Caenorhabditis elegans: one gene and its partner. The protein of the gene in region 1 interacts with the protein of each later gene in a pairwise test. Each region holds a gene or a part of one and is shown on either strand. Other genes may lie near its edges. The genes, in order: hlh-8 and spig-12.

What was found.
Region 2: the proteins of hlh-8 (region 1) and spig-12 interact in a two-hybrid assay, tested with the Caenorhabditis elegans proteins (one large-scale study listed by BioGRID).

What each region holds. Positions count from the first base shown.
Region 1 is NC_003284.9:8,114,630-8,120,953, forward strand, and holds hlh-8 (Twist-related protein), read left to right. Parts: upstream 1-1,827; 5' UTR 1,828-1,922; intron 1,923-2,008; coding exon 2,009-2,110; intron 2,111-3,135; exon of another isoform or gene 3,136-3,282; intron 3,283-4,129; coding exon 4,130-4,246; intron 4,247-4,293; coding exon 4,294-4,441; intron 4,442-5,156; coding exon 5,157-5,243; intron 5,244-5,394; coding exon 5,395-5,477; 3' UTR 5,478-5,711; downstream 5,712-6,324. Other genes in the region: C02B8.12 (Cpw-wpc domain-containing protein), read right to left, coding at 5,781-5,929, 6,012-6,191. UniProt on the Caenorhabditis elegans protein: Acts as a transcriptional regulator. Involved in postembryonic mesodermal cell fate specification. Activates ceh-24 and egl-15 during mesodermal patterning.
Region 2 is NC_003282.8:16,380,802-16,384,421, reverse strand, and holds spig-12 (BHLH domain-containing protein), read left to right. Parts: upstream 1-2,206; 5' UTR 2,207-2,244; coding exon 2,245-2,352; intron 2,353-2,501; exon of another isoform or gene 2,502-2,525; intron 2,526-2,627; coding exon 2,628-2,867; 3' UTR 2,868-3,044; downstream 3,045-3,620.

The DNA of each region.
Region 1 (6,324 bases):
CCGGGCCCACTGATTATTCATTAATTATGCGACAAGAAGAATAACGTTATAGTTTTTCTTTCTTAAGCATTTTTCATCATCAACATTTTTTGTTTAGATTTAATTTTGTTGCTAATAAAAAACTACACAAAACGCCAAGCACATTTATTTGACTTTTTTTTTTGAGTAATGCAGTAAGTAGGCAATTTGTTGTTTTTATAATTGATTAGTTTTAAGGCCTACTTGCAAAACTGAGAAAATTCTTATCAAGAATTCAAAACCATTTACGATTATCGGATTTTTAATATGGACAATGTTACTCATTTTGGATAAATCAAAAGAGTTTTTGGATTTTAAAATTAATAACTGTTTATTACTGATTAACAAAAGATTACGGTAAATTGGAGTTACAAAATGGACAAGTTTTATTTATGAATCAAGACATATTTTGATAAAAAATATGGGTACCCCCGCCAATTTAAAAATAAATTTTTTAACTTAAAAAAAAACGTGTGAAATGCTTTCATATTTTCAGGCTTACTTAGAAAAACACCATTCCTAAGTCTAACGAGGAAAATGGGAAACATGGGAAATATTACCGAAACCTGGGAAATATTTTTTATTGATTCCAAATTTTCCCTTGATTCCAAATATCGATGTGAAAAAAAATTAAAACAAAAATTACTGATTTTATTTAAGCTTGAAATCACAAATTCCATTTTTATGTCATACTTCAGATTTAAACAAATTTATTTTATGTGTGTTTTTTTAATGGTATGTCCTAACGATTTTCCTAATTGACAACTATTATAGATTGAAAACACAGAATGCCAAGTAACGTAAGAAATTTTTTTTTCGAATACCAGACATAATTTCAATAAAAGAAAAATCTTTAAAAAAAGTTTAACTTTATACTACAATAATTTTGGTTTTTATGAAGGAATCTGTATTGCGGCACATCATGTATTTGCTCAAGGTTTCGTTGGTTGACATATTTTTGTGATCCGTGGAATGAGCTTGCATAGAGTTTAGTCATAATTGGGTTTATTTTACATACAGTTTGAAGTATGTTTTGTCTGTTATTCGAAATTTTTTAGTTAGTTTGGTAAGTTGAAAAGAATTTACAAAATTTAACTAAACGAGGACGCTCATCTCGATTCTTATAATTCCATAATAATTCTACGGTAAAAGTCAAGTTATGCCTCAAAACATGTAATACATAATTACCAAAACTACTTAATTACCGCATTTCCTTAGTATTTTAATAGTGGTGTAGTCGAATTTTTTTTATTGCTTTATTAGACTCAAAATTGTCTGCAAACACCCAATTTCATAATGAAACTTATTGAAAACAATACACTTTGAAACAATTTAGTATTTCAGGAATAAGGTCACTGGAACTTCGAAAATGATAATTTGAATAACCGTTAATAAAATATTCAAACCAATTTGCATAATCTTGATTTTGTATCATGATGGTATAGAATGGGACTTTTGAAAGATGTGAAGTTTCAATTCAGTAAGTACAACTTTAAAATTGGGCTGCAAGATTTCTTCTTAAATTTTCAACAGTTTCAAAACACTGAAATCATGCTGAACTATGGTTAGAGACTCGACAACTTTCCTAAATTTTGGAGCAGTTTCAATGGTTTTCGAATGTATACTACATTTGTACCATTTTATGTGTTAGTGTAGGTTGCTTTGCTTCTACCTTCACTCTCAAATTCTTTTTTCCGCGGTAATTTTTCAACTATCGAAACAAAGAAGAAGTCATGAATAACTGTCCGCATAGAGTTCTCACCCGTCCCCTTTCTTTTCACCGAGCAGTCACGAGAGAAAGAAGAAGAAGCGGACCGCTGCAGAGATTCTTCGTAGCGGAGCCCCGCCCATCCTCTGTTACGCATATGTTTGGATCTCATTTCTTCCACTCATTAACGTTCCAGGTATGTTTTTTTTGTTGATTTTTTAATGTGTTACTTTTCATATGTTTATTACTTGAACTGACCGATTTCAAATATGATTTTCACAGATGGTGGCTCGTAGAAAAGGAGAACGCGTGGTTCGAAAGAATGAAGTGGAAAATGTGCAGCAGAGAGCATGTGCCAACAGACGGGAACGTCAAAGGACCAAGGTAAATGTTCATTCAATTGTTTTTGAGAGTTTCGGGTTGTTTAATATATTTTGAAAATGACCGCCTTTCTCTCAAAATGTTATTTTAGAGGCTTCAACCTAGATCAGCAGCTCGAAAAAAAAAACAGAAATTAAATATATAGTTTTTTTTAACGTAGTCAAACATAGTAACCTAGAATTGATACTATCATTTTATAAATGAAAAAAACCATGTCAGGTCAGTCAGGTCATTGTTTGTTGCATCTATTCTGCGTACGACTTTCACACAATTTTTCAATGACAGTTTTGCGTTGAGAACAACTTTTGATCTTTGTTATGTAATTAGTATATTTGAGCAAATTTTTCTCTTCTTAGCAATAAAATGTCGAATTTTCAACTGAAGTTATCAAGTTTGAGTGAATTATAAAATTAGTGCTAGCCATGTAAGCAATGAAATATCCCCTTCACACGAAATCCTATAAATTAGTGAGCGAACACTCCAAAAAAACCGGGTCATTAAGATTATCTGTTACTGTTCAGTATCGTTGTAATCCATACCCCTTCATTGCACGCTTTGGTAATTTTTTCACGTTTTTTTCCATTGATTAAGGTACAGTTTCAGTAGATCAATCCGCAAAATTTGAAAAAAATCTGTTGATTATAAGTATGTTCACCCGTATCGAGGAAATAAACGTGGAATAAAATACTAAATTTCGCAAAGAAAAGGTATGACTAAATAAACATGATTTTCGGTCTTTTCGACATCAAAAAATGACAAAAATGTGCTTTTTTTAATATTCAAACATGTTTTTTTGCGTCAAAACCGTTTCTGAACTTTTTTAAAAGGTATTATTCTGTAATTGGAACTGTAGAGCCATTGCTTCTTTTCAAAATTTATATAAATATTCCAGTTCTTTACTTCTACTTCCCCCTACGATCTAGTATTTAAAAAATTAGTTACAAAAAAATGTTACCGGGGAACCAATTTTAAAACCATAACTCGGCAACCAAATTGAACACGACTCTTTCGCATATCGCATATCATTTACAGCTTCCGTTCCCAAGCCATATCTCACACTTTTCCGACACCTCAATAACTAGTTTCACATATCACCCTGACCGCCAGGCTCGACGACACACTTTATTGTTCTCCCGCGCAATGTTTATGGCTCATCATCTGGCATGCTCGCTAGCTCGCTGCGTTCCAAAACTCCTAACGTCGCCTTCGTTTACGGCTAACATTAAACCACTTCCTCAACTCCTTCCGTAAGAATTTTGAGTTGCTTTTCGGAGTACGGTAGAGGAAGATGCAAGACGCGAGATGGGAGAAGAGGGTGGGGGGCAATAAAAAGAAAAGGTCCCTTCTGAATCCTGAGAACATCTGGAGACAATTTCAAAATATCACAGGAATCAGAGAGGCTGAAGGCAGAAAACTTATTTTTCTTCTTTCCACGGACGACATTTCTGAGCCAAGGCGCTAGCTAAACAAAACGTTTTTGATGGGGAAAATGAGTGATGGTTGAGCAATATTTTTGCCGAATTTAAAAGATATTGATGATGGCGATTTTTTAAATAAAGTCTAAGTTGTTAGCAGTTTTTAAAAACAATTACCAAAATATTAAGTTAATTAGTAATTCCACACCGTCTTTGAAACGCCAAATGGAGTCTTGAAACTATTGCAAATTGCAATGCATTCCGAATATCACTAAAAGTGCACGACAACTACCAATTGCCGTAAACTTCAAAACCTCGTGGCGTTAAGCCCTTTTTCAAAAAAAACCTAAATGAATACAAAAACGCGGTAGTGTTTTCTAAATATAATTATGTTTGAAAACTACCAAAAAAAACCTGGCAATTGGCAATTTCGGCAAGTTGGTCAATTTTAGCAATTGCCGGAAATTGCCGAAAACTGTGATAACAACTATCCTAATGACCTAATGAGTTCTTCTCTATCTTGATATGTTTATGCTTTATAAACATTATCTACTGTTTATGCGCGAAAAAAAACATTTAGATCACTCGTATTATGATTTGTTTACAGGAACTCAATGACGCTTTCACACTTTTGCGTAAACTGATCCCGTCGATGCCCTCAGACAAGATGAGCAAGATCCACACACTACGCATTGCAACCGATTACATATCCTTCCTTGACGAGGTTTTGAGTTGGAGATACTGTGGGATAATTGAATAAAACAATTTCAGATGCAAAAAAATGGATGCAAACTGTATGGCCATTCGATCTTCGACGAAAAACGTGGATACAATTTACAGTCGGCTTTCAATATGTGGAGGGGTAACAATGGATACACACCAATTGCTGGACCTTCACAGTTGCCTCCACTACAATCTGGTGAGCAAAGATGTTAATTCATTTTCAATTTTTTATTTGTTCCGTAGGCTGGAACATGTTCATAAACTTAGCATTTTCCGCTTTCAAAATTAGGCAAAACTATGAAAATAGAAGTACGAAACGTTTTTTGAGTTTAATGGATTATAATATTTTCGAAAAATGTCAGGTTATGATTAGAGCTATCATTTTTCCCGAATTATTTGATCATCAATTTACACGAACCTAAAATTGACTACATCAAAATAATGGGGTAATAACTGATGTAGAAACAATTCGTTTCAAAATTTTCAGTTGTAATTTTAGTTAGCTAATGGGGCTAATAACAGCACTAGTATTTTCTAGCTGTTAAAATTCTAAAGCTTTTATGTTATCTTATAGGAAACTGTATCAGGGATAAATGAAAAGTTAACCACTTTCTTAAACATTTATCGAACTTATAAACGTCGTACTTGTTTTCATATAACCTATGTAAAAATTATCATCAAAATTTAAAATTCTTTGCTTAGTTTTGCAGCCTCTATTAGTCTTGCATCTCTACGAATCTACCGACAATTAGTCTTACATGCAGGAGTAATAGGAAATACAGTGTACTGGGCTTCCTTTGTGCACTTATAACAATGAAAATTCTCAGCTTCAGAGTGAATTGAAACTGTTATGATTGAAATTCTTATGAGAATAAAATTCGTGTCTTAAAAACAAAGTTCACTTTTTTCAGCACATATTCCCCCTCCTGCTCCATCCAGCATTCCTCCACACTGTCTGATGCCCCAGCCTTGGTATCAGACTTGTCCGCCGCCAAAACGTAAGTTTTTGTACTGATACAAATTTTTATAGTGGGTCATAAAACAGTTTAGTCTGACTAGCACAACATCAGTAATCCTGCAAATCCTTTTTGTCAAAGTACAAAAGTACAATTTTTGAAGAGAATTCGCGTCACCTTGTTTTTTTTTCAGAAGAATTTCATGAACTGTGTCCCATCTCAACTCCAAATCCCAATTCAAATCCAAATCAACTCACTCCAATTCACTGGCAATAATTTCGAATATGGAAAAAACTGGCCAGCTCCTAATTTATTTGATAATGTATGCTTCTCAATCAACATAGTCCTCATGATATAGTGCCTTATTCTCATTTTTGATGTATCAAATCTGTCTAATAATATCTACTCGATTTCAATTTTCGTTTGCTCAAAACTTAAAAATTTGCTTGAGAATTTTGCAAGAGACTATTAGTAAGCCCATTGTTAAATGAAACAAGTTTATCCCGCAAACAGAAACTATGTGTGAATATGATCAAACTATAATACAAACACGTAAAAAAAAATTTTGAATCATAATTATCATTTGACCACTAAGCCATGCAATGATGAACCAATTTCAACTTGACATTCACACCCAGTAGTGGTATCAATTGACTCTTTTACCCAGTCATCGCCATTCTGTCTCATCACATTGATCGTCCTCATTATTGGCTTGCATTCTCCGAATCCTAAAAAAAGTGTGGGTCAGCGGCGTGATGGATGGGCGTCTATGAAAAAAAACGAGCCCATCGGAGCCCAAATGTCAAATACCTGAAAGGCATCCATCGTCGTTGTGGTCGCAATTGACCTCATTCAAATAGTTGGGGTAATAGTCGGCGGGAAGCTTTCTCCACTGCCAACACAAATTGCACAACCCACACCATTCGGAATTCGTTTGAAGAGCTTCACCACGGCGGTACTGACATCCAAGACTAGTGACTACTCCAAGCACTGAAAAACAGAGTTATCACTAAATTACTGATATTGTATCGGAAAGATTTGCATTTTTATTAGGATGGTCATAGATCTAAATCTAAATTTAAATTTTTTAAATTTCCAGTTAAAGTTAAGACGAAGTGCCAAA
Region 2 (3,620 bases), on another chromosome or scaffold:
TTGGAAAAAAAATTAATTTTTTTTTACTGTTTCAGGTTGGTGTGAAATAATGGAGTGTTCCAATATTTTTGGTTTTTTGCGATCACAGTACACAGGTCCAAGAGAAAATTTTTTAAAAAAGTCCATTTTTTATTTGGTTTCAGCAGCTGCCGTTAGCTCATGCGAATTAGTTTTTAAAAAATTGAGAAAAAATTGTTCTACTGTTTTAGGTAGTTTAGAAATAAAGGAAATTCCTAATGTTAACGTTCCTATAGAAATCCGAGTCTGTTTTTTTAAATTATTTCGTAACAGTCTTAATAAAATAGATCGTAATGGCTAAGTATAACTGTAAGAAATGTAAAAAAAAATTCAAAAAGTAAATAAAATATTTTTCAATTCCCGCGCAACTGTGGTTTAAAATTAACAACATTTTACAAAAAATGTTGACTGCAAAATTATTGAAAAAAACCCGTTAATCCAGTAGGAATTTGAAAATAGTTTGGTTTTTTTTTGAATTTTTGTATGCAAAACTTTAAGGAAAAATCTTTAGATCCATTATTTTTTTTAGAGTTAATACGTTTTTTTTCTATATTTCTGCAACAGTAAAAATTTCAAATTCAATTTTTAGAAATCTATCAATTTAAAAAAAAATAATCGTTCCGAGTTTGGTTGCAGAAAAGTTTGACTATTACGAACTATACTATACCAAATTTATATTACACTTGTATAAGAAAAAGAGGAATATTGTTTCATTAAGTACTCAATCTTAGAAAATAGTTTATTGAAACAGTGAAAACATTTTCCACTAAATTTTATTTTTATTCCCGGTCCCTCTGTGTTCTCCCATTCGCCCAATATTTTATTTCAAAGAGCCTCTTTTCCCTCCCACACATTTCCATTTCAGGGGACCCCCTATCTTCAATTTTGCCCAAAATTCGTACTAGTCGTTTCTGCTTTTGTGGACCCCCTAGAAGGGTGCAAAAGTGAAAATGCGCGCAGCTGTTCGATGCAGGAAAAGCTCAACTTCTTAGGGGCTCATCAACTGCTGCTCGCCCCCTCGGGGGCAAAAATTGATACAGCTGCTCCGGGCGGGTATGGGCAGTAATTGGGTTTTGTAAGAGTACAGGTGGAATCTGTGAGAAAATTTGAAGAAAAAAAATTACTGTTTCAAAATCCTTATGTTTTGAAACTTTTTGAAAGCACTTTTAATGCACATTTCAGATCTTGATGAATCAGAGAAAACCATTTAATCCAAAGAAAATATACTGTTTCAACGAATCTGTATAGTAAAATAATGAGTACCGGGTGATGATGTTCTTTCTCTTCAAATTAATACTTTACACTTACAAGAACAATAAGTACTGGAAACAACTTTTTTCAAAAATTTAATGAACATTTTGAAATAGTGGAATGATTTTTTTAAAATTTAATTGTTTGAAAAAAATTATAAGCTGTTTTAACACATTTTCATATGAAAATGACGCAGTTTTAATGAATTATTTAGTTTTCGTAAAATTAAATTTCAAACAAAACATTTTTGCTGTTTCATATTATCTTTAAAAAAAAACTATTCCATTTTGAACGATGTTATGTCGATAGGCTTTTTCAATTTTTTCAAACTATTATAACTTTAAATACAGTTTTGAAACTTTAATAATTGAAAACAAAACTGGAAGTATTTGACATTTTTCGTGAACTTTTGAAAAAAAAATATTGTTTCAGAATATTGTTAAGAAATGTGTTCTATTTTGGATGATAGTAGATCTACCGGAGTTTTGAAAACAAAGTTAAACATTTCTTTTTCTCAAAATAATTTAAAAAAAAAACGTAAAAAGTAATGTTTCATCTTGGAGTATTGAAAAGGGTACTCAAAAAATTCCAAACAATTCCCCCGTTTACCTCCCGCTCCTCTAGACCCCGCCAACCCACATTTCTCAGCGGTCTCGTGGTGTAGTGGTTATCACATCTGTCTAACACACAGAAGGTCGGTGGTTCGAGCCCGCCCGAGATCAGTCTTCTTTTTTTCGTTGTTGTTGTGTTATACCGTTGTAAAATGTCTCCCAGTCTATCTATCGGCATTTTCCCTCTCTCCACCCTTTTATCTTCTTCCCCCCACCCGTACTCGCGCGCACCTGTGGTAGGCGTGGCCTGGACAGCAGCTGGGTGTACACAGATACACCCCGCCTCCTCCCTCCAACTGGACCTCCATTCTCATTCTGACTCTTCACAGACCGCTATTCAACTACTCGTCTCCTTTTCCTAAAAATGAAGAATATTTCTGCTCGTCCACAACGTGACACCATCTCCCACGTTTCACCAAAATCAAGGAAAATTCGAAAATCCACGTCAGCAGAGAGAAGAGAAAAGGAAAAAGTTGGTGATTTTTTATAAGTTTGAATAAAAATTTAAAAAAAAATCTGTATTTGAAACTGAAAAATCCAAATATCATCATCATTAGTTATATATAAAAAAATATCGTACGTCCGTCTCCTTTGTAGTTTGTAGTCTGGTGTCTAAATATTTTTTTTTGGTTTTACGACGAATTATTAAAAATACAACATTTGAAATGTTACATTTTTTTTCTGAAACAGAAATTTTTTTTCAAAATATAAAAATTCCACTTTTTTTCTAATTTTTCAAATTTCCAGGTAACAAACCGACTCCGACAATTGGTTGCCGCCGAGGAAGACACTGACCAATACGAGCTCGTCATGGCCACCATCGCCCACATCCGAGAGCTCCAGGCTCAGCTCAACGGGAAAGAAAACTCGCTGCCACGTGGCTTTGAACAATTCTTCACCTCCTCCGCCTCAGTGAGCCCACTCTCGTCGAGACCCGAATCACCGGAATCTTCTGTGGAATCATCATCGCCGAGGTCAACTGCATAGAAATGTTTAGACATTAGTGTTTTAGTTGTTATTTTGTAATTTTTCACAAAAATTTACATTTTTTGTGAACTTTTTTTTGTCAATTTTCATGTCGGGTACTTATATTTATTCATTCTGTACATAATTCTTTGAAAAAAACACTAAAAAACTATATAATAAATCTTAAAAAAGACCTTGAATCATTTATTTCTGTGAAAAAAAACGATGAGTGAAGAAATGAAAAGTGTGATAATTAATGGACATTGAGAAAGTGAAACTTTTTTTTTCCAATAGTTGCAAAAAAATTTTTTAGTGTCTAGCTTGTTAGGATTTGCATTAAGCAGACAATTGAGTTTAGAAATAACTGACAAAACGTTAGGAAAATTGTGAAACCTTTTGAAAAAATATTCAAAACTATGAAATTTCATTGAAACAGTAAAATTTTTAAATTATCAAAATTTGACATTTTTTGGAAACTGAAGCGAATTTGAGAAAAATCTGCCGAAAAAAATATGGGCAACAAAAAATAGTTACTTGCTCCCAAAAAAAACCGCATACTAGTCAGTTCAAAAAATTCTATATTGAAAATATTTTTTTGAAACAGTAATTGTTTTAAATTGAATTTTAAAATTAAACTTGCAATTTGTAGGGAATCACCAGAAGAACATTTATTCCAATAAGACGGAGTTTCTGAAAACCGCTGTTTTGAACTTTTTCATTGAAATGGGTAAAGTTGAATTAATTTCATAAAAAATTCGGTGGCAAGGGAAGTTA